Linked DNA regions of Arabidopsis thaliana. The protein of the gene in region 3 binds, or shares a complex with, the protein of the main gene of each other region. Each region holds a gene or a part of one and is shown on either strand. Other genes may lie near its edges.

Evidence for each region.
Region 1: PDE312 (region 3) and PTAC7 share a complex: the UniProt entries of both Arabidopsis thaliana proteins name them as parts of the transcriptionally active chromosome (TAC) complex.
Region 2: PDE312 (region 3) and PTAC14 share a complex: the UniProt entries of both Arabidopsis thaliana proteins name them as parts of the transcriptionally active chromosome (TAC) complex.

The regions. Positions count from the first base shown.
Region 1 is NC_003076.8:8,275,182-8,281,176, forward strand, and holds PTAC7 (plastid transcriptionally active7), read left to right. Parts: upstream 1-2,518; 5' UTR 2,519-2,568; coding exon 2,569-2,610; intron 2,611-2,691; coding exon 2,692-2,739; intron 2,740-2,817; coding exon 2,818-2,901; intron 2,902-3,582; coding exon 3,583-3,918; 3' UTR 3,919-4,013; downstream 4,014-5,995. Other genes in the region: ABIL3 (ABL interactor-like protein 3), read left to right, coding at 91-190, 294-386, 465-507, 582-676, 760-887, 968-1,144; AT5G24313 (uncharacterized protein), read right to left, coding at 1,925-2,170; AT5G24316 (proline-rich family protein), read right to left, coding at 4,092-4,244, 4,324-4,431, 4,529-4,569, 4,679-4,754. UniProt on the Arabidopsis thaliana protein: Essential for chloroplast development, especially for thylakoid formation. Involved in plastid gene expression, probably by maintaining plastid-encoded RNA polymerase (PEP) activity.
Region 2 is NC_003075.7:10,875,535-10,883,562, forward strand, and holds PTAC14 (plastid transcriptionally active 14), read left to right. Parts: upstream 1-3,282; 5' UTR 3,283-3,379; coding exon 3,380-3,436; intron 3,437-3,491; exon of another isoform or gene 3,492-3,552; coding exon 3,553-3,708; intron 3,709-4,121; coding exon 4,122-4,259; intron 4,260-4,306; exon of another isoform or gene 4,307-4,341; coding exon 4,342-4,467; intron 4,468-4,551; coding exon 4,552-4,680; intron 4,681-4,780; coding exon 4,781-4,870; intron 4,871-4,958; coding exon 4,959-5,109; intron 5,110-5,215; coding exon 5,216-5,325; intron 5,326-5,400; coding exon 5,401-5,472; intron 5,473-5,565; coding exon 5,566-5,671; intron 5,672-5,755; coding exon 5,756-5,950; intron 5,951-6,041; coding exon 6,042-6,163; 3' UTR 6,164-6,518; downstream 6,519-8,028. Other genes in the region: VSR7 (VACUOLAR SORTING RECEPTOR 7), read left to right, coding at 33-330, 563-1,237, 1,316-1,431, 1,512-1,581, 1,666-1,826, 1,984-2,065, 2,156-2,238, 2,330-2,393 and 3 more. UniProt on the Arabidopsis thaliana protein: Essential for chloroplast development, especially for thylakoid formation. Involved in plastid gene expression, probably by maintaining plastid-encoded RNA polymerase (PEP) activity.
Region 3 is NC_003074.8:17,959,143-17,967,012, reverse strand, and holds PDE312 (Nucleic acid-binding, OB-fold-like protein), read right to left. Parts: upstream 4,851-7,870; 5' UTR 4,805-4,850; coding exon 4,076-4,804; intron 3,985-4,075; coding exon 3,925-3,984; intron 3,831-3,924; coding exon 3,801-3,830; intron 3,723-3,800; coding exon 3,649-3,722; intron 3,509-3,648; coding exon 3,266-3,508; intron 3,145-3,265; coding exon 3,078-3,144; intron 2,993-3,077; coding exon 2,900-2,992; intron 2,787-2,899; coding exon 2,610-2,786; intron 2,533-2,609; coding exon 2,482-2,532; intron 2,245-2,481; coding exon 2,093-2,244; intron 2,023-2,092; coding exon 1,605-2,022; 3' UTR 1,400-1,604; downstream 1-1,399. Other genes in the region: AT3G48490 (uncharacterized protein), read right to left, coding at 5,213-5,481, 5,582-5,675.

The DNA.
Region 1 (5,995 bases), on a different chromosome or scaffold from region 3:
TGGACAGATATTTCTGCTTTAGTTTTATTCAGTTGGCATTTTTGAGAATGATTCTTGTTTGTATTACTGAACTTTCTTATATGTGTATAGAGGCTACGGATGTGCCAAGAGTACATGGATCATGAAGGTCGTTCCCAGCAATCACTTGTGATCGACACTCCAAAGTTCCACAAGCGGTACTTCTTGCCTTGTAAGTTTCGACTCTCCAAAGTTCCCTATATGTTTCTACAAACTTTCGTTCTCTTATTTGTCGGTTTTGGGACTCAGCTAACAAAAACGAAATTCTCTATCAGCTGGTGAAATCAAAAGAGGTGGCAACCTCGCAAAGCTTAAGAATGTTGAAGGTAGTTTTGATGGAGAAGATGACTGGAACCAATTCAGAAATGGTATAAATTGCCATTTCATTTACTTAGAAATTGCCTTGATTCTTGATTTGATATGTTTCTTGTTGTGAATTCTTAAAGCTGTTCGCGCTACAATTCGTGAAACGCCTCCACCACCTGTTAGGTATAGTCCAGTACTCATAGTGAGTTCCCTTGTCAAATGACCGAGAAGTACTAAACTTTTATCGCTTTTTGCAGAAAACCGATACTTCAGTCTCCCTCTCAACGGAAACCTCAACGTTCAGCAACCTTTTCGTTCTCCTCTATCGCCACCGCACCAAAGAAAGAACAAGGTAAAAGACAGCTTCACCTTGAAATTGCCGTTTTTGGCTTAATATGTAAACAGAACCTTTAAACAGTGTGCATGGTAAAATAGATAAGCGAGCAGTATCACCACATCGGTTTCCGCTGCTAAGATCTGGTTCGGTTGCTATCCGACCGTCATCAATCAGCCGGCCAACAACCCCGAGCAAGAGTAGAGCGGTAACTCCAACTCCTAAACGGGTAAGCTTCGGTTACATTTCAAAAACACTCACTTCTAGGCTCTATCTCTAACGGTTGATTCTTGATATTTTCTGGCTCAGTATCCGTCAGAACCAAGAAGATCGGCTTCGGTTCGGGTTGCGTTCGAGAAAGAAGCTCAGAAAGAACCAGAGCATCAACAACAACCGAGCAAGAGCAAACGGCTGCTAAAGGCGCTACTTAGCCGACGCAAAACAAAGAAGGACGATACGCTCTACACTTATTTGGACGAATATTAAACCGAAAGCTGGTTTTGTATGTTGACTGGTAAACCGGAAATTACATTCCAGTTTTAATTGCATTTACGTAATGTCAAATTGTCAATATATGTGTTACAAAATATGTCCATGATTCTATGATTTTGTGTATACCTTATGACTGTCAGAGTGTGAATGCAGTTTTGTTTACAAGCGTAGTAAAACTTGCTGTGAATTATTTTACTGCCGATTTTAACCAAATTAACAGCAAGTTTATATATACAATTTCGTTCTCGAAATATTATTTGACAGTTTAATATATATTTTGCATCAATTACTGTTGCAAGAATAATTATGTTTTTGAAACTTTTGCTTTTATTTATCCAGTTTTTGAAATTGATTAAGAATGTTTGAGACTAATCCTCCCTTTTTTCTTTTTTTTTTTTTAAGCCGTGGTAATGTGGTATTCGTTCGGTAAATCTACCTATTCAAAAAGATAGTATCATCGACTTTTCTGTTGTATTAACTTACCATTTACAAATATTACATTAATTAATTTGAAACAAGTCAAATTTATTGTCACCAAGAATGAAGTACACGTATACAGATAAAAATAAAGAAGAAAAAAACAGAGACAACTTTTCCGGAGATTTTACTTTAGAAAGCAAAGAAAACTAAATCAAACCAAGCCTTCAAAAATTAGGTAGCTCTTATAAACCGGATCATAAAACCAAACATCAAAACATATGTATGCTCTTTCAAAACATGGTACCAACTCACGAGTCTTTTCATCAGGGCCGATTCTCACCATCACTCAATGGTCTAGACACCATCAGTTTGGGGTTCAACTTCTGATCTTTTGGGTGGTGGTGGAGGTGGTGATCTGTCGTAATGCTCAGCAACAAGTGAACGATGAGAAGAAGGAAGAAAAACCTGACGAGACTCCATCGATGGAAAATAAGATGATGGTACATTATCGTCAAGAAGTTTCCGGTTGGTTTGAGCATGCCCGATCATGATCATAGCTAAGAGAACACAACATATTAAGAGATGATTCCTAGAAGCCATTTTCTCATCCGGTGATCGATAGAGTTAATTTCTTTGCTTATCAACTATGTTGAGGTTCCATCTTGTAATGTCTTATGTATATACATAGCTCACAAAGTCACAATAGAGGGTTCCCACTAACTATTATTAGATTGATTGATTTCTGAAAAATATTATTTTTGTGTACCAAGTAAAATTATATGATTTTAGATTTGTTGTTAGTTTTGATTTGTTTTAGATTTTTTTTTTGTGCAAGTTGAATTATTATTGTATAGATAAAATGACGAGAAAAAAAAATGCCCGGTTCGGTTAGGAATGATTTGTCCAAATACGAACACAACCAAAGATAAACCATTAAACCGAACCGGAGAAGCTTACATATAAAATAGGATCCGGTTCTATCTATTCACTGTGTATCAATGGCTTCCTTCACCTGTTCTTCTCCATCTTCGATTTTACCTGTAAAAATCCCTCCTTTGCTTCTCTCATAATCATCCTTTGATGTCAATGTGATTTCTCATTTTCAATTATTGTATATTCAGATTATTGATACGAGAAGTGGGAATTTGCGATGCACATTTCAGTCTCAGGTTTTGAATGGTTGATATATATACGAATTTGTGGGTTTTTGGGGGAGAGTTTTGAGTGAATCTGGTTGATTTTTTCAGGTTTCTTGTGGGATTCAGAGAGATGATAATGGACGCCGTGTTTGGCGGAGGAGAACATTGGTAAGTACTAAACTTGATATTTTGGTGATTTTCCAGTTTCATGTTTATGACATAAGTCGAATCAGGAATCAAAATAAGGGTTTTTCTTTGCTTGGAGACGACATTTCTAAAAAGTTGCAATTTTTAGTAGGATCACAGATTAGCTTTAACTCACTGATGAGGCATGACTATTAACTCTAGTTAGTCTTTACTTAGTCATAGTAATTGATATGATGCATAGAAGGAGAGATGGAGATTGTCTTCTCTGAGTTTTTGCGATTTCTAGTTTACCCTTCTTGATTCCAAATTAGCTTACACACCTGTTTCAAAAGTGTCTTTGTTGAACTATGCTCATTTCAGACGCTAGCTTTAGTTCTTATACTGTTGATGAACTTAAAGAAACATGGCTTTTTACCTCTAGTTAGTGTTTACTTATATATATTCAAGTAACCATGGTCTTATCTCTATGGCACATGCAAGAAATTGGAGATTGTCTTATCTGAGATACTGGGATTTTTAGGTGGGAGTTACACATTACATAAAATATTAGTGTGATCTTTTTACTTGTACTATATTCTACAAACTATCAGTTTCTGTTGTTTGATCCTATCAGGTTCATGAGGTTTTGAGATTTCAATAATTACCAAAGCCAGAACAATGCAAAATCTTTGTTTATATTTGTCCCGCTTTTAATCTCTCTATGTCGTTCTCCTGTTTTGTCTGTAGACGAAGAAGGACGATATGTTGCGTTACAAAATGCAAAGAGTTCCATTTGTGGAAGAACAAGTAAGGAAGATAAGAGAAGTTGGGAAGGTAATGACAATGGACATAGAGCAGCTTCTTTTGAGGGAAGACAATCGGTTTGAATTTGTCAATAGCGTAGCAGCTGAAGCAACAGAGTACGTGGACAAGAACAGAGACGAATATGGAGGTTCCAAAAAAGCCATCTTTCATGTTCTAAGCAACCGTGTGAACGATCTCGGCTTTGATCGCCCTGAGGCTTATGTAGAAGCTGATCCTTACAAACCCGGTCCTGGCTATTTGTTGGAGTACTACACTTGATATATTATAACAAAAAGTGTCAATGTACTTTACAGCTTTTGTTCTTGTATTACCAAAACCAAATCAATGCATTCACAGCTTTGTTGTTTTCTTGGCCAAATTTCATTTTATTTATTTAGATTTACTAGATGAAGACGAAAGTCTAATGACAAGAGTTTAGTAAAAGTAACGGTCTAGTGATTTGTGGTGAAAGGAGGTCGTCGTGTCGGTGGAGGAGGAGGAGGAGGTACATATGGCATTGGTCGTTTTGGGATTGGTCTTGGAGACCAGTCCCCATAGTCTTCTTTGTTATAGACAGTTGGTTCCTTTGTCACAACCTCATCAACCTTTCAAAACCAAACTCATACACTATTAAAAAAGGAAGACACTTTTCGTAATACTTCATTTTTGCTATAGGGCACGTACTTGTGTTCCTGGAATTGTAGGGTCGGATGGCTTGGGAGGTCTTAGATGCGGCCCAGCGTAGTCCATCTCCAGATCGATTCTTCTTCCATTCATGACCATCTCTTTAACCTTTTTAAATCAACAAGTTTTATATCTTTTTGTTTTTAGTTTTGATGCATATTTGTAATCAAATATATAACGCTTTTAGAACCGTGATTGTTAATACCTTGCGGTTGATGTTGTCATGATGCAAAGTCTCAACGATCCCTAACAAAAATATGAAGCATATTTATTCAATTCGGAGTTCTATATTGACCTATATAAAATGTTAAAGCTACTATAAGTTTGCATATGTTAGTTGATCAGATCTATATACCTGAAGAAAACATTGGGAGAACGAGCAAGAAAGATACTAGTATCACTAGCTTCATCCTTAAGTCAGATTCTCTCATTTTTGTTTTGTTTTGGTGATATGTGAATTGATTTTTATAGTATAAGTTGAGATACACATATATACGAAGACAGAGATATATAGTAGTCAATCGTAATTATGAAGATAACGCATCACATTGACTAGATGAATCCGTAATCAACTAAAATATGGACAATCAATATAGTCAAAGCAAAAACGAATATGTGAATTCTCCATAATTAAGTTATACCATTATTGTTTCCTCTCTTGAGAGAATCCATATGTTTTAATTTAGGAAGGGGTATTCAATAGCTAAATCTAGAAAGATTAAAATAATAATAAAAAGTTATAGATTCTGTTTAAAAAAATTTTTAAGAAATTTTATTTTAGACAATATGAGATTTGTTTCTTCGTCTTTATTATTTAACTTTTGATTAAATTCCGTTCAAATGACATTTGGCATCTAGCCATTAATATTAAGTACTGAGACCAAATTAAAAAGAATTAATGTTAAATCTTGTAACTATTGAGACTAACATTTTAAAACGTTATCTTGTAACTTTTCTTTTTTCATCCGATTTTAATTAAAACTCAAAAAAGGCAAACATAACTACCTGATGAATGTTGTTATATAAGTGATATAAAACGGTTTGGTGCAATCTTTTCACGCCAAGTAAACATATTTTGTAACTATTGAGACCAAATTAAAAGGAATTTAAAACGCGTTTCCCTCTGTTTTATATTACTTATCCTTTTAGTTCATTTCACACAAATTAAGAAAAAAAATTTTTTTATTGTTTTACCCCTAATTAATACACTGTTATCTATATATACATTTTTGCAGCCATTTTAGCAAATAAATCCTCAAGTTTAAACTTATTTACAAAAGATGCCATTGCTATCAATTATTATCAATTAATTAATATTCCTAATTTGTAGCATTTCCTTATCTATTATATTTCCATCAATTTCAATTACTTAAAAAATGAGAAATCTTAGGACATAATTAATATATACTTGATTAAAAGATAAATATTATATTTAATTAAACATTTAAAATATTTAGGAAAAATGTTTTATAATATTTATAATATATGAAATCTATAAAAATTAAATAATCATTTGAAATAAAACTTTTAAATTGATGTGATTATAAATCTTTTAATAAAACTATTATTCGAACAAAAAATAAAAAAATAATATTTAATTTTAACGGTTGAGATTAGATTATAAGATGGGTTTAGAATATTTATAATATATGAACTTTAAAACAATTAAATA
Region 2 (8,028 bases), on a different chromosome or scaffold from region 3:
CGATCAAACTCTTCTTGGTGGATTCTTCAGAGATGGGTTTAGTCAACGGGAGAGCTTCGTTGACCTTTCTCCTCGCGGCGTTGACCATCATCGCTATGGTCGTCGAGGCTAGGTTTGTGGTGGAGAAAGAAAGCATAAGCGTGCTGAATCCAGAGGAGATGAGGTCGAAGCACGACGGCTCGATAGCCAATTTCGGTTTACCCGATTACGGTGGGTTTTTAATCGGGTCAGTGGTTTATCCGGATAGTAAAACCGATGGATGCTCTGCTTTTGGTAAAACCTTCAAGCCCAAGTTTCCTCGTCCCACTATTCTGCTTCTTGATCGTGGAGGTAAAAAAGTTAAAAACATCTTTAAAAGTTAAAACCTCTGTTTTGTCCATTTACTGTTGTTTTGTTTGAGTTCAAAGATTTAAACTTTAGTCTGCTATGTTATTAGCCAATAGGACTTTATGGGTTATGCTGCAAAAATACATTTTGAGCAGAAAGATATATTTTTTTTACAAAGAAAGATTAAAAGTTTAATCTCTCAAGTAATCTTTGCTCCATTATTGGATGTTTTTAGGTTGCTACTTTGCCTTAAAAGCGTGGCACGCGCAGCAAGCAGGCGCGGCTGCAGTTCTTGTGGCGGATAATGTAGACGAGCCATTGTTGACAATGGATTCACCAGAGGAGAGCAAAGATGCGGATGGTTTCATAGAGAAGCTAACAATCCCATCGGTGTTAATCGATAAATCATTTGGAGATGACTTAAGACAAGGGTTTCAGAAAGGGAAAAACATAGTTATAAAACTAGATTGGAGAGAGTCTGTGCCTCATCCTGATAAGAGAGTAGAATATGAGCTGTGGACTAATAGCAATGATGAGTGTGGTGCACGGTGTGATGAACAGATGGACTTTGTCAAGAACTTTAAAGGTCATGCTCAGATACTCGAAAAAGGCGGTTATACCGCGTTTACGCCGCATTATATTACTTGGTTTTGCCCTTTTCAGTTTATAAACAGTCCACATTGTAAGTCTCAGTGTATAAACCATGGGAGGTATTGTGCTCCTGACCCTGAGGATAATTTCAGAGAAGGGTATGAAGGGAAAGATGTTGTGCTTGAGAATCTGAGACAGCTTTGTGTGCATAGAGTTGCGAATGAGAGTAGCAGGCCTTGGGTTTGGTGGGATTATGTTACCGATTTTCATTCTCGATGTTCGATGAAGGAGAAGAAATACAGCATAGATTGTGCTGAGAGTGTCATCAAATCTCTGAGTAAGAATCTTTTTTCTTTTCCTTTTTAGATTTTAAAGAAAGAGAGTCTTCTTTGTTTAGGTTATGAATCTTTAAGACTTTTTTCAGATTTACCTATTGAGAAGATCAAGAAATGCATTGGTGATCCTGAGGCTGATACAGAGAACCAAGTTCTGAGAACTGAGCAAGTATCTCAGGTTAGTTTCTTAATCTATCTTTATTTAGAGTTTTGAAGAAACATTTCAGAGGTTTGGTTACTAACTGTAACTATTTCAAGATTGGCCGAGGAAACCGGGGAGATGTTACGATATTGCCAACATTAGTCATCAATAACGCTCAATATCGAGGTTTGGTACTTGATATTTTTTCAGTTTCACTCTCTCTTTATGAAGATGCTGAAGTTTCTGTTGTTATTGGTTGCAATTGTGAAGGGAGATTGGAGAGAACCGCGGTTTTAAAGGCGATATGCGCTGGTTTTAATGAAACATCGGAGCCTGCCATTTGCTTAAACACAGGTCTAGAGACAAATGAGTGCCTTGAAAACAATGGTGGTTGCTGGCAGGATACAAAAGCAAACATCACTGCTTGTCAAGTATGTCGTAAAACCGAGCTTACCACATCACATCTCACCACTATATTGAATATCAGTATCAATTTGTTTGGAATTGTTTTGAAAACTAGAGAAAATGTGAAAATCTAGAGAGATATTTTCTAGTCCTATAATACTTGAATCTTTTTTGTTTGATCAGGACACATTCAGAGGAAGACTCTGCGAGTGTCCGGTTGTAAAAGGTGTTCAATATAAAGGAGACGGGTACACTTCATGTACACGTAAGTTGTTCACACATTTCACACAACATAGCTCTCAAATGTTGAGACCGGTTTCTTGAATAGTCTCTGGTTTGTGATTGAGCTTTGCAGCTTATGGGCCTGCGAGGTGTACTATGAACAATGGAGGTTGCTGGTCTGACACAAGGAACGGCTTAACTTTCTCTGCTTGCTCAGTTTAGTGATTCTCTTGTCATAAGCCAAACCCTCCCTTACAAAGTTCTTGTTTTCAGTTCAATCATCTCTTTGTTATTTATGAAAAATTAGGACTCTGTATCTACTGGCTGCAAATGTCCTGAAGGTTTCCAAGGCGACGGTTTGACGTGTGAAGGTACATAACTCTTAACTTATCGATTAAAATCTCGAAAGAAACCACATAATCATATTACCAACAATGTAATTATGTTTTCTGATTTGGCTCTATTGCAGATATTAACGAATGTAAAGAGCGTTCGGTATGTCAATGTAGCGGTTGCAGATGCAAGAACTCATGGGGTGGATACAAATGCAGCTGTTCTGGTGACCGGCTTTACATAAACGATCAAGATACTTGTATAGGTAAAATTTTATCAATCAAGATTTAAGAGTACTCAAATTCCATAACAGTATCTAATTAATATACATTGATGATTGTTTGTTACAGAGAGATATGGATCCAAAACGGCATGGTGGCTCACATTCTTGATACTGGCTATCGTTGCAGTAGCCGGTTTAGCTGGTTATATATTCTACAAATACCGGTTCAGGGTACTACTACTCTTTCTGATTCCACAAAAGCATTTTTGTACTTAATAACGGTTTTAGGATTACCAAACTAACTTTTCTTTGGTGTTCCTATTAACAGTCTTACATGGACTCAGAGATTATGACGATCATGTCACAGTATATGCCACTTGAGAGCCAAAGAGCTCGTGAAGTTCCATCAGAAGCCGAGCCTTTTACACTCTAATAGTATATGACCAAAGTAACCAAAACTGTCATACACAAAGAAATGTTTGAGATCAATTAATGTACATATGAATTATACTGTAAAAATAAAAGAGTGAGATAGAGTTGTGTATATTTTCATGGCAAAAAAATAAATAATTTGGATGTAAAGAGACTTTTGAAGAAAATAAAACAAATATTGCTTTCATTGAGAGTTGAACTCAAGACCTCCCGCTTACTAAACGGGTGCTCTAACCAACTGAGCTATGAAAGCTTCTTGCAACATATTATTCCAAATAAATTATATCGTAAACTAAGAGTTAAAATCTTGAAAACAAAGGATAACGATCTTCGTCTCCCTCTGCTAAACCCATTTTCTTCTGTTGAGGAATGGCTTCTTCAGTCTCTCTTCAGTTCCTGACCAACACCTTTATCTCCAAACCTCAGGTTCTTAATCTTATCTCTCTGTATCACCTAATGTTTCTATGTCATGTGTGTGTGTGTGTGTCTGTCTTTGTCTGAATTTTCTGAGTACTCCTCATGTTTTTTCCGGTCGGACAAAGGGTTTCTGCAACGGAATTGTGTCAGCACCAAGACCCAGAAGCAATTTATTAAGAGACAGACAAAATGGTGTACGACCCATCAAAGTTGCGTCTATTGAGACACAACCTTTCCCTCTGTTTCAATCTCCTGCTTCCGAAGAATCTTCCTCGTCCGAGGTTAGGATTTTCAGTTTTGAGTGTTTTAGGGTTTATAGAGTTCTAAAAGGCAGTACCTTTGACAATTCTTTGCATTGCCCCTATCTGGGAGATTGATTTAGAGTACAAATGAGTTCTAAAGGTAGTACCTTTAGACAATTCTGTTCATTGCCCCCATATGTGATATTGATTTAGGGTACATATGAGTTCTTAAGGCAGTAACTTTAGACAATTCTGTGCATTGCCTCCATCTGTGAGATTGATATAGGGGACTTCTTAAGGCAGAAACTTTAGACAATCTTGTGCATTGCCCTCATCTGTGAGATTGATGTAGGGTACAAATGAGTTCTAACGGCAGTAACTTTAGACAATTCTGTGCATTTCCCTCATATGTGAGATTGATTTAGGGTTTTTGTCTTTTGTTTCTTCACTAGCTGGAGACAGCAGATCCGGATTTCTACAAAATTGGCTATGTTCGAAGTGTGAGAGCTTATGGAGTTGAGTTTAAAGAAGGTCCAGATGGTTTTGGTGTCTATGCTTCTAAGGATATCGAACCTCGCCGTCGAGCTAGAGTCAGTCTTCTTAGTTAAAAAGTTGACAACTTTTTGTTTTGTTCTTCTCTTTAGATTATTTTGTTTTCTTTTCTCTCTGCAGGTGATTATGGAGATTCCTCTTGAACTGATGATAACCATTAGACAGAAGCACCCTTGGATGTTTTTCCCTGATATTGTACCAATTGGTCATCCTATTTTCGATATCATTAACTCGACTGATCCTGAGGTAGTAACACATTTGTGCTATTTCGATATCATCAACTCGAAAGTTCTTATCTTTCTCAAAGTCCTTTCACATTTGTGCTTACAGATTGATTGGGATATCAGATTAGCGTGTCTTCTGTTATTCTCTTTTGATCGAGATGATCACTTCTGGCGGCTCTATGGCGATTTCCTGCCGGCTGCTGATGAGTGCAGCAGCTTGCTTTTAGCTACAGAGGTGGATTGAATTGATATGATTGCCATTTGAAACTGGTCACATTTACTTGTGTCTTTAAACTAATGCTTGATGATATCTAATTCTGTGTGTTTTTCTATAGGAAGACCTTGCGGAGCTTCAAGATCCTGATCTTGTTTCAACTATCAGACAACAACAGAAACGAATCCTAGATTTTTGGGAAAAGAATTGGGTAATGAGGCCTTATATATGTGTTTCCAGTATATCTTGACATTTGGTTATTGCTTTGTTTTTCATTGGCAAATTGTATTCCGTCTCAGCATTCAGGTGTTCCTCTCAAAATCAAAAGGCTTGCCGAGGATCCAGAAAGATTCATATGGGCGGTTAGTATGGCACAGACACGATGCATCAGTATGCAAACTAGGGTCGGTGCTTTGGTTCAGGAATTAAATATGATGATTCCTTATGCTGGTAAGGAAGAGCATGTTGTGTAGTTATTGATAAATTAAGATTTAGTATCAATGAACTTTTTGTTGAGGAACTAAATAAGAATCTCACGATTGATCATTCTCTGCAGACATGCTAAACCACTCATTTGAACCAAACTGTTTCCTACATTGGCGTCCTAAAGATCGCATGCTGGAGGTTATGTCAAATGCTGGTCAAGACATTAAGAAAGGCGAAGAGGTAAGAGACTCAAATGTTCCTAAGTGTCAGCCTCACTTCACTGCTTTATCTATCTTCTTATAATGCTTTTCACAGATGACGATTAATTACATGCCAGGCCAGAAAAACAACATGCTTATGGAAAGATACGGCTTCTCAACTCCTGTGGTAATGCTTTTTACGACAATCACATTCATCTTACACAAACTATGTTTCCTTTGCAAGTTTTCTCGTTTATTCAGTTTTTCTGGTCTGCTGCAGAATCCGTGGGATGCTATAAAGTTCTCTGGAGATTCTCGCATCCATTTAAATTCCTTTTTATCGGTCTTCAATATTTATGGTCTTCCTGAAGAATATTACCATGACAGTAAGTTCCTTTTCTTCTGTTTCCTCTCTATTCCTTGACAAAAGATGGAGAAATGAGCACCAATGTTACCTAAATCTGTGGCAGGCGAGTTATCGAGGGGCGATACTTTTGTTGATGGAGCAGTTATCGCTGCAGCAAGAACATTACCTACTTGGTCAGACATAGATCTTCCTCCAATACCGAGTGCGGAAAGAAAAGCAGTTAAAGAATTGCAAGATGAATGTCGAAAGATGCTTGCGGAATATCCCACAACAGCAGAGCAAGACCAGAAGTTGCTAGGTATTACACTAAAGATATATACACCAATGTGTTATTATCTATTATCGCTCATATACTAAAACTTAAGCTTTCCCTCTTGTTGTTGTGACAGATTCAATGTCAGAAGCAAGGACAACATTTGCAACAGCGGTTAAGTATAGAATGCACAGAAAGATGTTCATCGGAAAAATTATCAAGGCACTTGACATCTATCAAGAACGGTTACTCTATTGATTCAAGCAAAAAATAATTATGAGCTGAGTGAGATTCATACTTGGTGCTCACTCCCTTGAGCTACTTAGAAACTGCACCATGTAATTGAAAGGTTCCTGTTTTTTTTTTTGTTTAGTGTAAGGTTATGTATTTGTATGGAACAGTTAGACTAAGTGTGTTAGTTTGTTTTAATCGCAATCACAAACAAATCATAACCTCTTCTTTTCTTGGCTGCTTTAATGAGTTTGATTAGCCAACAAACGCTTTGGAATCATCTGTGTTTTTTTTTTCTCTTTTGATTAATTCATGTTCATGTTTTTAGTCCCTAAGCATGATTAGTGTCTCAAATGTTTTAGGGTAATTGTGTCTCTTACGCCGAACTATAATGTTGATTAGTCTCAATAATTGATTATTACTTATACTATTTATTAACCTTGTGGTTACACTAATCAATCAAATCATATTGCGTTTCTTCTACTCTTTGTCTAACATTACTATTTTCAAAAAAAGTTACGGTCCAAACCAAACAAACCTACTCTGAGTTATACAGAACCATAAGCAATCTATTTCTTACCTTTGGCTACTTATTTGATACTTTACATTGACTAACTTGATTCTTAATAATTATCTTCAATATGTTGAATATTTTATTTTTGAAGTAAGACCACTATGCGTTTCATAATTCTTGCCATGCATAATGAAATTATTCCTTTGAATTTAAGATTAATTAAAGTATAAATCAACCAAACAATAGACAAAAAAAAATAAAAAAAAATAAGCATCTTGATCTTTTTGGTGGATCGAAGATAATTCCTTTGTCTCATTCTTTTGGATTTAGAATCTCGTTCAGTAGAATATTAACATTTTTAATTATAGATTATCAATTATCGAACAAGTTGTTGTACGTAAACTTGATTCGATCTAGCGTTATTACAGTCAACCAAAATTTATATAATAATAACAATTTATGAAAATGACAATATTATTCGATGTATTATTCCTTTTTTCCTATAATTAGATAGGTGTGATTAAATTCAAGCTAGATTCCGAATCGACAACAACATATTATATCTATTATTAACCTCAATTTTTGAAGGCAAAAAACACACGAAATTATTCAAAACTCACGAGTTGATTCTTTACTTCGATGAACATATAAATTGGGAAAGTATCACCGAACTTATTTGGGTAATAAAGAAAAAGATGGATGAAAAAATTATGTTTGCAAATTTTAATAAGAATTATGTTTGACTTGGTAATAAAATATAGGGCATAATCATATGATGCCATGTTAATGTACGATCATACCACAACTGCTCTCCTTGTCGTGAAAAGGTTGAAGTGATGAGAAGCTAACACACTTTGTGACATAACCAAAGCCAAAAATATATACTTCAACCAAGTCATTTTCTCAACCACTCTTTTCTCCTTGTCCAAGGTCAAAGCCATGCATCACCATTTTATTTTCTATTATTCATTATTGTTACTTTTCCTTTATATAACTAATAAAAGGTCTATTACTAATAAACAACTAAACTTTTCTTTTCTTTTTGATAAAATTAAACAACTAAACTTGTCGAAAAGAAATAGGAGAACAAAGAACTCTAACTTCTCACGAAATTGATAAATCAAATGATTGCGTATCACAAAGACACTAAAAAGAAAAATTAAGGAATCGTGTAGAGTTGACACTCTATACATTCAGAGTAGTAATCATGTGTTTGATAGATAATAAATAGATAATGGAAGTATGAAATGAGAAAACTTGTTGGGATCATTTATCATTTGTGGAATCCTCTAAATCTTTTCTAACTTAACTCCAAGTCGTTAGAGTCCAAGAGATATGAATCGATCGGAACTTCAATACAGAATTTAATTAGAATATA
Region 3 (7,870 bases):
CTCACGTTTTGAGGAAACAAGGAATATAAGAAAGTAAACGACCCAATAAACGTGATACGTCGGAGCAAAAGAAAACAAAAAAGGAGGGTGAGGAATAAATGTTGTACTACAGCTTTGAATGTACTACAGTCTACCTGCGGTAAAAGTGCGATATCTAATGATACGTGGGACATCTATATATCATCTATGCCATAATAGAAATGCCACATGGACCAATGTTTAACTATGTGTAGCTGTGTTTTTGGAACTTAAACATCAGTTCCATTTTTTGACAAAAAAAGAAGAAGACGTCAGATTCAAAACATTCAAATCAACGGTGTGTACCAAATTCCAAATCGTTAAGTTAATGAGAAACTGATTTTACCATCTCCGGATAAGAAATAGCGCTACAAGACTAAAATCAAAGACATTGTATGATACTATAATCGAGTTTTTAAGGGTCAAATGAATAGTGTTTAGCCGGGGACTTTTCTTTTATAAATTGTTTTTTAGAATCTTTTTGAATTTATTTTTCGTTATATATAATCAAATTAATCAAAACATAAATAAATTAAGAGTTTTAAATAGCAATACAAGTCTACCTACATTGGACATAAATTGTATAATAATTTAGTTAAGAATTTTAAGGAGACTTTTCTTTTGTAAATTGTTTGTTAGAATCTTTTAGTATTACTTAATCTTCCGTTACTATTGTTAATGACCTAACTGATCAGAAGCGGAGTACTGAGACGTTGCAAACACCATCCTTAAACCGTAAACAATATGTATGAAGATTGTTTTTGGTTGTATAAAATAAAACAAGTCAACGGACGATTTAAACAGAATAATAAAATTGGGCCGAAGCTTATTAGCCTTTTAAGGCCCACAAAGAAGAGCGAAAACCCTTAACGAGCATATACAACTCGGAGCACCTCTTTTCTCTCGCTCTCTTCCTCTTCAAGGTTTATATTTATAACTTCTTTTGCTGCTCTCAACGAACTCTTCCAGGCTAATAAACCGTCTCTGTTTTCATCTTCTCCGTAGCTGAGATAGCTCCATACCCTCTCCGACCCAAGTAAACTGATTTTCCATGTTATGGAGATTTGGTTCTCTAACTTATTGCTTTAGAGTTTTGATGTCATTGTACAAGTTTAATGCTATTATTTTTGTGAATTAGGTACAACCTTGCAGAGTAGCTTTGGTAAGAGTTTGCCTTAAGAGTTTTGTCATCAAAGAGCACACATGGTGTGAAGTTTTTGGTATACACGGAGAGATGACAAGGGTTTTTGATATTCCAGGTACGAACGAGAAAGCCTTTTGATAGAAGTTGATGTTTTGGAGCCCAAACAGAAGAAACAAGAGAAACATTTAGGCGTATTTTGCGGTGTCAAGACTACCTTCTCTGACGACGATTGATAGAAAAAACAAAAAACGTCACGTTCCTAACGTTCAACGGTGTACTACAAGATCCCAAACGTCTGGCTAAGTTAATAAGAAACTGATTTTACTATCTCCGGGATAAGAAGAAATGAAAAAAAAAAACTATCAAATAGATCAAACCTAACAGACAAAAATTCAAATAAATCAACCTCGACAATTTCTTATTTTTACTTTCCTTTTAAACATCAGTCTGTCAAGACTTGAGTACCGTTAACAAGAGGTTGCTGTTCCGAGTAACCGATACTGCTCTCATCACTCAGAATGCTATAGTCAAAATCGTCAAAATCATCGTCATCCTCTTCTTCTTCCTCTGACTCTGTTTCTTCTTCTTGACTCGCCAAGGTAGACCCTTCTTTTCTTTTCTCTATTGTCTGCTTAATCGCATCATCGTAAGACATGTCATACCACACATTGCCTTTCCCAACAATGGATTTGTTGTGTGCATCCTTCATTCTCTCTTGCTTGCTAATCTCTGAGTTCTTTGGCTCTCCCCAGTAGTCATACTGATATAATGCACTTGTTGGATCGTACTGGTCTTTCCCAAAGAAGCTTCCTGGCTTGTACCTCCCTGGTTCCTCCAATGGTAAACCAAGTGCTTGCCGACTGCAAAATAAATCTTCTTCATCTAAACACTTTCTTTGAAAAACATCAAAGTGAACTTTTTTTTACTTACGAGCTGATATCTCTGAGCAATGCTTCTCTTTCCTCCAAAGATCGGCGCCAGTGTAAGAAATCATACTCGTCCATCTCTATATTTCGTCTGAGCTTGTCAATTTTGTATCCTTCTCCTCTTGCTTTAGCTTCCATCATTAGTTTATTGTGGTGCTGCACAAGACAACAGGAGAGTATTGAGTTATTAACCACTATCAGTATAAAAGATTCATACAACAATGTGTCAATTACAAAGTGCAAAGCCTTAAAATGGAACTGTGACGACAATCGGAGTTACCAAGACAGTGTGAAGTGGAAATCTATTAAAAATAAACAAATACAAACGAGAATATTTCCGTAGCAGTGGGTTAAAGGAAATTGGTGACGACAAGTAGGGAAGAGAATTTAAACCTGGCGCTCGGTCAATGCAGCCTCTAAGTCAAGTTCCTTGACACTGGTTTTCTGCCAGAAATAGAACACATTTAATCACAAAGCTTAAGACAGTATGGTTTCACGAACACACCAGAAGAAACTCTCACCAGAATCACTTTTGGCAATTTGGTTTTCTTATAATAAGCTTCGCCATACTCGATATCCTTTTGTTCATCAAAGTCTTCATCATCAGATAATTCTGATAGCTTTTTGCCTTCGTATTTTGCAGGGTTAGCTTCGTAATCACCCAAAATCATTTGCTCAGCTACATGTATCTGCCACAACTGCAAACGGGAAAGAAATGTGTTGACGGTTTCACAAAATTTAGAAAGCCAATAAACCTAATGAGTAAACAAAGCAAAAATCACATAACCAACCCTTTTGCTCAGGAAAATACCTTGTCGACATAAGGGTGATCAGAGAGCAGCCCTTCCTCCTCTGGCTTTGATCCTGGATCTTTTCTAGGTTCAGGAGGTCTTCCACAATCTCGCTGTACAAACAATGTATTAGATAAGAGGGAGACTCTTCACGAGAACACGAAATGGATTGATATTCTAGGAAAGGATTCTACTGACCCGTATCTCATCTGGATTAGTATCCCCATCACGATGGAATATTGGTGGGAAGTCAAATTTATTAAATCTGGAGCAGGAATGTAAAAACAGTCAACACATATACCATAACCAAGACCATTGAGGACAGAACCAAAATGCCAATTTTTACTGGATATGTAAAGAGAATTAAATACGTGTGAATTACATACATCATGTGATCTATGTTAGGATGGACGAAGCGCAACTCCAAGGGAAACCGAAACCGGTATGGATCTCTTTTTGCCTGAAAGAACAAAAGAAAAAGGAGAATGAAGCAATTTCCATTCAGATTTTTATAAATGCGAAAGAAGAATATGTGCCTTAAGATTACCGTGATTTCAACGATAACATGCATCCCAACTTTTATGAAATGCCGGATCCAAAACCAGTCATTACCTTTTATAGGTACCCATCTGCAAACCAATAGACACATAAACTTACATCTTTCAAAAAAAGCATATGAAACAAGAGACAACATTATATTACGTTATATACCCTAAATACAAGAACCACGGTAAGTCTATCTTTACAAAGTAAAGAGACATAAACATACCCTTCATGAACACCTCCAATGTCAACAAACGCTCCCTGATACAGATGTAAAGTGGTAACTGTGCCTTCACAAACCTGCATGGACATTACGATATTGCTCATTTAAACCAATCATTAGTTACAATATACAAGGCTTAGAATAAGAATTCTTACCATCCCTGGATAGTAAAAGGGAAGCTCATACTGCACAAAGAAAAATAAAGCAATTAACTTACAAACAGTTCATCATCTAGCAAACTAATCAAACAATCAAATCCAGTAGCATAATAATATTTACCATCCCATCTTCGTAATCCTTCCCTCTTTTCCTCCTACCCGGATAAAAATCCTGATCGAGCTGTATAAATAAAAACATCATCTTTATTAGAATCCTTCTCTTAGCCACCACTAAGCTAACAATATCTCATTGTTCAAAAAAAAAAACGAACCTTGTAAGATTCTTCCTCCAACCTATCTTTATTATCTTCAACCCATTCCTTGTATTGTTTCAAGAAAACCTTAAACCTCTCCAAACACATCTTATCAACAGTAGCATCTTCACCAACTCTCAAATCCTTATCCAAATCCTCAAGCCAAACTCTTTCAGCCATTAACTTATGAGCTTCCCTAATAAACTCCAGCTCCTTCCTATCAACTTCCCAACCTCTGGGAGGCCAATCACGCGGCGGAATTTGCCTAAGAACCATCGGACCAGCCCAAGATGTTTCTAAAGGAGGTGGTTTATCACCTCTAATCTCAAATTGCTTTGCATACCATTCGTCTTCTGTTATCCCCATCTCCTTAATCTTCTTCTTCCTATACGATGGTCTCAGCATCTTAAACGCTTCGATCGCTTCCGGCGATTGAAGCGGAACTTCTTCACCTTCGTTGAGAGATTTACGAGCGAAATCAGCTTCTGGTGTGAGAATCTCTTCCCATGGAGCCCAACCACGTTCGATCCAGTTACGTCGTCGAGCTTCATCTTCTGTGTCTTTGTCCTTTGGTCCGAATTTCTCGAGGAAGGTTTCGTCGACTGGGAATTCATCGGAGCTGAATCCACGACAAGGCAGCAAGGATATGCGACGAGGCGGTGACCATTGAAGAGCTTTGGGTTTGCAGAAATTAGGGTTTGTGGGATTAGGGAAAGTGAAATTGAGCTTGGTTTGGCAAATCTGCATGATTCATTCGTCACTCTTCAGGGTTTTTGAAGGTTTAAGAGAGAGTGAAGAAGTTGAGTATGGATAAGCTTTATTTCATTTTACAGTGAAGAAGAAATGTTAAGTTTTTTTTGATGAACCCTTATATTTATCCAATATATTGTTTTGACCCCAAATGTTTTTGATTGATCAGTTAGACCCATTTTAATATAAGGTTTAGACGTTTAGTTATGGATGAACCCCTACATGACCAGTACTATCAACACCGTTGGTTAAAGATCATAAAGCTTGTTTAGGCTAAAGTAATAAACACATGATTGAGAGATGTTTTGATACAGGCATCTATATAGACTCCTTACTAACAATGTAGTTAAATTGTACATAATCAAAGTACAACACACATGAACTTGGGATACATTTGTTTACAAATCATTCCTGAGTCTCTGTCTTCATGTTTCGTGCTTGAGCTTGATTCTTGTACTTGCTAAACATGGATAGTACTGATGGGTTCTTGCTCTTTATCTGTTTCGAGCTTTCACACGAGTCTATAGCCATTGCATCATGAGTGTCTCCTAATTGTGTATCCGAAGACAAGACATGAGACGATGATGTTGATGACAGATTCTCTTCACCTTCTGTTTCTGATGAAGTAGTGTCCTGTCTTGTTGACCCTTGCTTAAGTTTCAACAGTGTTGACTCTACAATGCCATCAAAAGAAACCAAGGATTTCAAAACCTAGAGATTTCTATTGGACAATCAGAATCACATGAAAATGGAAAGAGTGTGTATTTATTATACCGTAGACGGAGAGAGGATCGTCTTTGATGATCTTCGCCGGATATCTCTCCAGACAATCCGGCGGCGACGGCGGTGGTCTCAGCCTCCCAAACATACGTCTCTCTCTCTCTCTCTCGAGTCAATTAGATCTGATCGTCTTCTTTGAATTGACAATCTGAAAGATGACAACATATAATCGATTCTTTGTGTTTTGGCGCCTCGATCGATAAAAAAGAGCGGGAACCTGAGACCAACAACGGCCCAAATAAATGCTGTTATAATGGGCCCTTCGCTCTTATTATGATTTTATCATTAATCACGTTTTTCATTATTATAAACCAAAAAAACTTTTTATATAAAATAACTAAAATAGATAAAATTTCCATCAAATCTAGTATTAATAGAGAAAATATATTAAACGTAAATATTGTTTAGGATATTAACTTTTTATTTATGAACTTGTTTTAGGATAATTGATTATTTCAGAAAATTACAATACTAAATAGCATGAAAAGATATAATTTGATCAAATCTCTTACTGTTTATTATGTACACATATATTAAATTTATAATCTACTTTTTTTTTACATACCATTATGTTACGTAGATTTATCAGCAAAAGCTAGATATTATTGAGAAATAAATTTATGTGAAATTCAGTATTTAAATACACCTTAGTAAATCCCAATAACACATATGAATAAGAATATGTTTCTTCACAGATGATCTATGGACAATTATACTTGCACAATTACCACTAAAAATGATCACGACTTCTAAACTGGTTTGTAAGCAGTGGAAATCTATTATCGAGTCTCCACATTTTCGTGTCATGTTCATGTCTCTGCACCATTCTTCTTCATGGTCGCTCATGTGTAGGCGTTACAAGATAGAACTTGTGGCTCATCATAGATGCAACACTTGGGGATTTAATCGTACCAGTACTCTTACATCTCGTCTTTTATGACCGATAAATTCGAAATGAACATATACCGAGAAGCCAAAGTTGTTCCTTACAACACCGATATGGGGTTTATTTTGATCGATGTCGAGTCTATCCTCAGGATCAATCGTTATACCTAGCTAATCCAATTTCACATCAATGCTTAGAAATCAATCGTCGTGCTCTCGAGCATAATTTTTTCTGTCCCTTGGGAATAGTAACACAAACTAAAAACGGCGTCGTTTTGAGTTACAAAGTTGTTATGTTTGATGAAAGGCAAAAAAGATCCATAATAACGAAAATAAGTTTTCAGTCCAGATATATTCGTCCGAGACACGGTTGTCGAGTCTCAACACTATCCATTTTCTTTTCTCTTTTTCGTTCAATCGTGATTTTTACCATCCCATTAGCTTAAACGAAAATCTTCATTGGCTCGTTCGCAATAGTGAGGATACAGAAGTTGTTATATCCATCGACTTTTACGCTTTTGAAACAAATTCTGATAAGTGTCGGGTTACTCATTTCCCTGATTTAGAAAAGCATCGCGAATTCATAAGAACATGCACAACTAGTCAAGGATTTCTCATGTATATGAACATAGTCTCTGATGAAGGTTTAGATGCTAAGTTATGTGTATGGAGGCTAAAGAGTGGAGAATGGCAATTAGTATCTGAGATCTCCCCGACTTTTATTGAAACTCCTTTCGATTATTTACCGCTAACGATTGACCCTTTTGATGCTAATATAGCATACTTTTGGAGTTCGAAACACCAAACTTTGCTATTTATTAACTTACTCAATGGAAATTTTGTGATCCACAGTGAATTAGAATATACCAAGCAGAATAGCATTATAAGTTCCTGTAACAGTCCGATACTTATGAGAGTACTCACCCAACATATACGATGTTGCTTGCTCGTTCTCCCACAATGGATGTATCGGATCCCCGACCCATGATGACAACATGAGTTTAGATATGTAATATTTACAATACTTGACTTGTTTATTTTTATCATTATTACTGTTACTTTCTTATGAAAAGAGGAAGAAGATGTAGCTTGGTTTACTTTTGAGTGTTAAGAAAATGTTTATAGGGCAAAACAAAATATACCTAATAAATTTAAAAAAAAAAAAAAAAAATTACAAATAAGTGTTTGATTCTATATTTTCCCAAAGCACCTACACAGAAATATTTTCTTAAGAGAAAAAATTCAAAACAAAATTTATAAAGGGTTCAATAAATTATATATCACAGAAACCAAAGAGACACTAAATCATCTTGACCGTTGAATCGTTGTCTATTAAAAAGTAAGTAAAATCAACGGCCAAAAGAGTCTTTACGTAATTCGTCTGCTAATATTAAGCGA